2 linked regions of the Macaca fascicularis genome follow. The protein of the gene in region 1 binds, or shares a complex with, the protein of each later gene. Links are inferred from orthologs where the notes say so. Each region holds a gene or a part of one and is shown on either strand. Other genes may lie near its edges.

What was found. Proteins that work in one complex are often made in the same cells at the same time.
Region 2: NSMCE4A (region 1) and NSMCE1 share a complex: the UniProt entries of both Homo sapiens proteins name them as parts of the SMC5-SMC6 complex. The link is inferred for Macaca fascicularis from reciprocal best matches to the Homo sapiens genes NSMCE4A and NSMCE1.

The regions. Positions count from the first base shown.
Region 1 is NC_088383.1:130,965,275-130,968,924, forward strand, and holds part of NSMCE4A (non-structural maintenance of chromosomes element 4 homolog A), read right to left. Parts: intron 2,153-3,650; coding exon 2,022-2,152; intron 1-2,021. UniProt on the Homo sapiens protein: Component of the SMC5-SMC6 complex, a complex involved in DNA double-strand breaks by homologous recombination. The complex may promote sister chromatid homologous recombination by recruiting the SMC1-SMC3 cohesin complex to double-strand breaks.
Region 2 is NC_088394.1:26,306,446-26,310,020, forward strand, and holds the end of NSMCE1 (non-structural maintenance of chromosomes element 1 homolog), read right to left. Parts: intron 2,440-3,575; coding exon 2,323-2,439; intron 1,445-2,322; coding exon 1,324-1,444; intron 839-1,323; coding exon 759-838; 3' UTR 597-758; downstream 1-596. UniProt on the Homo sapiens protein: RING-type zinc finger-containing E3 ubiquitin ligase that assembles with melanoma antigen protein (MAGE) to catalyze the direct transfer of ubiquitin from E2 ubiquitin-conjugating enzyme to a specific substrate.

The sequences.
Region 1 (3,650 bases):
AATCTTCCCTTACAGTGTCTATATTTGATGTTATACATAAGAAAGTCTTCTCCGCCCAGAGACTTGACAAATATTAATTTAAGGTTTTATATTTAATGCTTTAAGACTTCTAGAATTTATTTTAGAATAAATAAATTCTAAATTTATTTATTTAGAATTTAAAATATGGAGCTTGGCCGGGCACAGTGGCTCACGCCTGTAATCCCAACACTTTGGGTGGCCAAGGCAGGTGGATCACGAAGTCAGGAGTTCGAGGCCAGCCTGGCCAACATGGTAAAACCTCATCTCTACAAAAAATACAAAAATTATCCAGGCATGGTGGCAGATGCCTGTAATCCCAGCTACTTGGGAGGCTGAGGCAGGAGAATCACTTGAACCCAGGAGGTGGAGGTTGTGGTGAGCCGAGATCACACCATTGCACTCCAGCCTGGGCAACAAGAGCAAGACTCCGTCTCAAAAAATAAAAAAACAAAAAAAGTAAAGTACAGAGCTTAACCTGATAAAGTAATTTTTAAAGAAATACCCAATATATGGTTACTTTATTGATGTATATTAGAGTGCATTTTCCTAAGTGTATTATGCTTCACAATAAAAAAAAGTTAAAAAAAAAAAAAAAAAGGAAAAGGTTTGAAAAACAAACTGAAAATAATCTCGTGCCTCATGCCTTTACAAAAAAAGTACTTTATCTGGTCAGATCTCATAGTACTAAATTATTTTAATAACCATTTAACATAAACATCCAGTTAGAAATACAATGTTCATACTGAGGTGCAGCTATCTGTGCTAGGACAGAGGTTGGCTCAGATTGATACACTGACTGATTAATTGATTTTGAGACGGAGTCTCACTCTGTAGCCCAGGCTAGAGTGCAGTGGTGTGATCTCAGCTCACTGCAACTTCTGCCTCTCCTGCCTTAGCCTCCCAAGTAGCTGGGATTACAGGTGCCCGCCACCACACCCAGCTAATTTTTGTATTTTTAGTAGAGACGGGGTTTCACCATGTTTGCCAGGCTGGTCTCAAACTCCTGACCTCAGGTGATCCACCCGCCTCAGCCTCCCAAAGTGCTGGGATTACAGGCGTGAGCCACTGCGCCTGGCCAGAATAGAATTTTTTAAAAAGACAACAAAGTGAGCTACAAGGTCAGTCTCTGTGTGCTTTTTCTTTTTTTGGTAAATTCATCAAGGAACAGTTTCAGAATTGCAGGTAACCACTATTCAAACTTGTCAAGAGACAAAGAAAGGTGAATAAAACATAAAACCAAAAAAACCTAAACCTGGCTGGGCTGGATGGCTCATGCCTGTAATCCCAGCACTTTGGGAGGCCGAGCCGGGCAGATCACAAGGTCAGGAGATCCAGACCATCCTGGCTAACATGGTGAAACCCCGTCTCTGCTAAAAATACAAAAAAATTAGCTGGGCGTGGTGGCGGGCGCCTGTAGTCCCAGCTACTCGGAAGGCTGAGGCAGGAGAATGGCGTGAACCCAGGAGGCAGTGCTTAACAGTGAGCCGAGATCGCGCCACTGCACTCTAGCCTGGGCGACAGAGTGAGACTCTGTCTCAAAGGAAAAAAAAAAAAAAAAAAAAAGCAAAACCCAATCATATTCATATGGTTTTGAAATATTCTCAAAGATAGACCAAAACATGCCCTCTCGCCAGGCCTAACTCAATTCCAGCTGAGCTCTGCCGTCACAGAGTGTGCTTCTGTCCAGCCCAAGAAAAAGGTCCCCGGTCACTGAGAAGGATCTAGAACACCAGTGAACAGAGGAAAAACGGCTATTGGCAAATGACCCCAGCACCCAGCATCTTAAGACAGAACGCTATGAGATTTTCACTCCAAGCCCCCATCCAAAATTCCACCACATAGCTCTCCTTTCATCTGTTTAATTTGGTAAGATCTCTCTAGAGGAATCTGAGACCAAAAAAGAATGAAGTGAAATCATCTGCATATGGATATAAGCAAAGTAAATAATTATATAACATATAACAGAACATTTCTTATTCAGTCTGTAGCTTTGAACTTACTAGAGTTTCAACATATCTTAACATGTCAAAGGAACTCAGGTCTGAGCGCAGCTGCTTTGCTTTCTCTTTGCCCAAATCGGAAGCCAAAACAAGAAAGTGGGCATCTAGGACTGCTTCTCTTGCTCGGGACACTATGCAAAAAAGAAAAGAAAATATTCACATTACAAAATACACGTTATCCATAGATATTTTCCCTACATTTCCAACTACTTACCAGGATTTCCCACTAGACAAACAAAAAAAAGAAAATCTCAATAGGCAACCGACCCATCTCCTTCTAAAACTTGCTCCCCTGCCCAACTCACCACAATCTCTAATGAAAGCTGACCAGTCTTCCTAAAAGCCAGCTTTCTCTCTAGTTCTCCTACTCCTGTTAGCTGAATCACAATCTCTTAAATAACCCCAGTTGAGCAAAACCCCTGTCATGTCTAATACTCACTTTTCCCTCTGACTCAATAACCCATCCTAATCACGATGATCATGTGTGCCGATGTAAGGACAATCAAATTCCCACTACATGCAGGGCCCTGTGCTTGGCATGGTGGTTTGTGAACAGCAATAGGTAAGTTGCTAACGTTGCTAACCAAAATCATGGCATGTGCTAGGCTGGCATCAGGAGGCTCATGCCTCTGTATGGCTTCACAGGCAACCCCAGCAAAGCCACCCAAATGAACAGTCTACAGGCAGCAAGTAGGGACCCCTGAGGATGGATGCTCAAGAAAGGCTTGACAGAGTACATGGGATTTAACAAAAGCTATGGAAAAAAAGATTTAAATTAATGGAGAAACAGGCCGGGCGCAGCGGCTCACACCTGTAATCCCTGCACTTTAGGAAGCCGAGGCAGGCGATCACTTTGAGCTCCAAAGTTTGAGACCAGCCTGGGCAATGCGGTGAAACTCCGTCTCTAAAGAATCAAAAATTAGCTGGGCATGGTGGTGCACACCTGTAATCCCAGCTACTCGGCTGCTGAAGCTGGAGAATCGCTTAAACGTGGGGGGCGGAGGTTGCAGTGAACCAAAATCATGCCACTGCACTCCAGCCTGGGCGACAGATTTAGGTGTTCCCAGACTACTTTTCATACTCCCTGTTGCCTGCAGGGTCTGATTAAGCAACCCCTCAGCCCCACTGTTGCCTTTTGTTGACCCTTCATCTCCTGAGTATCCTGTGCCTGCCTGCCCCATTCCCTTCTCCTTTCATTTATTTATTTATGTTACAAACTGAGACCATCAAATCCATGAATGCCAAGCGTCTATTGTTTGGTGAGCAAACTAAGGCTCCATTGACTGAATAATTTTGCCCTAAAATGTTGCTTTAAATACTGGAAATAGCTGAGGAGGAAATGATGTGGGGATAAAGAACTGACTAGATGCATAGTAAATATCAAGGGAGTGATTGAGTCAAGCAAGACTAACAGCGAGGAGACTGAGAGTCCAGGCTATGAAGGGAAGACCAAGCTTAAGAGGGTAGTGGAGGGATTTAAACAGGTGAAGGAGAAAGACCCGGTTCCTGAAGGTTTTGATGAAGTTTAGCAAATGCAGTAGACTAAGATGGGAAATGGTAAGGAGGCTTTGGTCAAAGAAGAAACAGAAATTGGAGAGCATATATAAAGTGAAAAAGGAGACATTTAAA
Region 2 (3,575 bases), on another chromosome or scaffold:
GCTGCAGCAGTGGGGGCGTCCAGGGGTCTTCCACAGGGAGCATGGAGGCAGGGTGTGGGCCGGGGCTGGCGCTCAGCCTGAGGCAGCAGCGGCAGGGCCGGAGGGCTACTGGCAGCTGGGCTGGACAGGATCTGGTGACAGTGGGATGCAGGAGGGTCAGGGAGAGGAAGCATTGAGGCTGACTCCCGGTCCCGGCTGGGGCTGCTGGATGGCGGGGCTGCCGGGCACCCACAGGGAACAGAGGGTCCAGGGAGGGAGAGCACGTGTCCCGCCCAAACGCCCAGCCTCAGCCCATTCAGGCCAGTGGCACCTTGGGCCAGGGGAGAGTCCAGACTGGGGAGTTGGGGAGGCCAAGGTTCACACATCCAGGTGTGGGCCAGCCCAATCCTGCTGGGACAGCTGGTCACAGCTGGGACTGGAGGCAAGGCTGCCCTGAGCAAGGACAGTGAGCTGTCCTGAGCCGTTGCTGGGGGCTCTGCTGGTTTCACCTGCTGGAGCCCAAACCCAGGGGTTCTGAGTGATGACCGAACTCCAGGAAAGAAGGCAAGGCCACGACACAGAGCCTCACACACAGGCTCGAGAACACAGACAGGGGCTGCAGCAACTTCCAGGACAGTTTATTCCAAAGCTGTGGACAGTCCACATTAACAAGAAAGAGGTGACTCGCATGGAACCTGAAACACGGACGCCTCTCTTCCAAGAAGGGCTGCGGCGATCAGGCCACCCAAGGCAGCCAGTCCCTCAGCAGAGCACGACGGCTAATGCTGCCTGGACCGCAGGGACTTTTTGTTCGATTTTGAGATACCAGCCTCCCTCTGCTTCTCAGGGTCGAAGACTTCTGTAGGCAGAAAAGGCAGGAAAGACAGTGAACGGAGGGGCTGGCAGCACAGGAGCACCAGCTCGAGCCAGCAGCTACGTCTCCTGTGCCAAGGACTCTGTCCTAGGTCTACACCATTCTTCACTGCCAACCCTCCCCAGCCCGTGAGGCAGAGTTAGCCCCAATTCAGAGAGGAACACACTGAGGGAGCTGCGGACATGGCTGTCACATCCCCCTCCTGAGAGGGCTGCCAGAGAGGGAGCCTTGTCTAGACAAAATGCTCATAAGCGTTGGAATTTCTGCTGGGTTCTAGAAAGTCCTCTGGAACGGTGCACGCAGCTCAGCCTTTACTTCCTGCGGTGGCTGCTTCTAGGATTCAGGCTGCTAATGCGGACCCCCACGCACCCTGGAGCCTTTCAGGGCCCTGCCTCCAAGGGCTTCCCCAGCACCAGGCCCTGCATCCTGCTGGCCCAGCCCTTCCCATGAGCACCTCAGGGCCCACGCACCTGGGATCTCGTGGGGCCAGTAGTCGTTGCAGTGGGGGCAGCGCGGTTCGGCGTTTGACTGGAAGTACTTGGCCACGCAGGGTAAGTGCATCCTGATCCCACAGGTTTCGCAGCTTTGACCCTGAAACAAGAAAGGCCAATGACGGCAGAGCTGGTGCACACCTCTGTGTTCTGCAAACCTCCGGGGAAGCCACAAGGAAAATGGGCAGCTGGTGGCATCGGGTTATCTTCCAGTCCCCAGATTAATACTGAAAATCCCAAACGCCTTAGTGCAGGGGAGTCTTTTGTTTGCTTGTTTGTTGCAGTGGGTTTTACCAAACAATTCTGAACACATGAACGCAGTGACAGAAGCCGAGGGCTGGCAAGCTCCCGCACTCAGATCCTGCAGGTGGCATGTGGACAGCCACAGCTTTTCAGAAGCTTATTTGCTGATGTGGATCAAAAGCTTTCAAAAAAAAATTGCACTTTGTCCCAGAAACCCCGCCCAAGGAAATAATCACCATGTGCCCAAGGATACAGGTGTACGAGGCCCATGAGAGCAATTGCAATTACAAACAGCTACAGCTGCAAAACGACAGAAACTGAAAGACACATCAGTGTCCACGCTGGTTCAGTGGTTGCAAAGCCCTGCAAACTGGAGTAGACCACTGCGGAAAGCAGCAATTGATAGAGACACTCCGCCAAATACTCTGCCACAAAACTGCCAAAATAATGCAGGTTGCACAGAACACTCAACCTTCCTGAGAAGAATAAAGTAAGCGAGAGCCCTTGGACCCCAGCAGCAGAACCAGGGAGGAGAGAGGCAGTGCGTCCCTGCAGGCCACCGTGGGGAGGCATCCTCTGACACGTCCTGGGAGATGGCCTCCAGGAGCTCTTGTGGGAGGAGGCGCCGGCAGTGCAGGAGGGCTGGGTCCAGAGCCAGGATTCGGGAAGTACCTGTGCAGAGCCCCAGGAGCTGAGGGCCCGGCAATGAGCTCCCATGCCCTGCCCAGCGGGTACCTGGATGAGGAGGCTGTGACAGATATTACAGATCTTCACCGCGTCGGGGTACGTCTCCCGGATGTATTGCTCCATTTCCAGGATGGCCCGGCCATGCAGGGTGAACTCCCCTTCCTTCTGCAGGGACACACGGGAGGTGGCCACCCTCAGCCAGGCCCTCTCCCCATTCACTACCTCTGTTCCCTCTGTGATCCCACAGCCCTGTGCTCAGGAAGACACAAGGGTCTAGGCACCTTTGCACCAACCCCAGACAACGGGCATCAGCCACGTCCCCCTGGCAGAGCCTCAGCAAGGGAAACTGAGGCAAAGGCCCAAAAGGCATGGAGGCACAGCTCCCCGACACCGCCCTTTTCTCAGCACCTGTTGTGCCTTCAGACGTGACTGCTCTGTCTGCACAGCAGCCCCGAGCGAGGAAGTCACAGCCCTCCTGCAGATGAGGACGCTGAGGCCCACAAGGGGTCAGTCTCCCCAGGGCACAAACCCGAGCACCCACTGCTTCCATCCGCCACCCATCCCACTCCCAAAAAGCAGCATCCCCGGTGCCTCCCAGCATTTCTGCCTCCAACTGCAGTAGGGACCCTCAGAGATCATTTCCGGCCACATCACTTTACAGACGGAGCTGGAAGGAGTCTGGAGAGGGCAGACGGGCCCCATCACACCAGGGGCAGTGGAGCCTCCAACGGAAGCCAGGCCTCCTGGTTCCCACGCCAGGGTGCGGTCACCCATCATGCATCCTGAACACCCTGGGAGAACCAGGAAGCACATGAAGAACACAGCTCCCCAGGCGGACCCGCCTGCCAGGTCACAGGAGAGAGGCAGCACTGAGGGAGACCCAAGGGAGGCAAATGACACGGACCCAGGACACGGACCCATGCAGGCTGATTCCAGTTTCTCCACAGTCAGCTCATGCATCGGACGTGAACCGCGCCAGGAGATGGCGTCACTGAAGCCTGCGAGTCACTCGAGTGCTCAGCTGCCTTTCCTGTTATTTTCTAATTTTTACAAGCAAGAGCTGTCACTCCCGTTTTTGTTTTTTGGTTTTTTGGTTTTTTTTTTTTTGAGATGGAGTTTTGCTCTTGTTGCCCAGGGTGGAGTGCAATGGCATGATCTTGGCTCAATGCAACTTCCGTGTTCTGGGTTCAAGCAATTCTTCTGCCTCAGCCTCCAGAGTAGCTGGGATTACAGGTGTGTGCCACCACCGGCTAATTTTGTATTTTTAGTAGAGATGGGGTTTTGCCATGTTGACCAGGCTG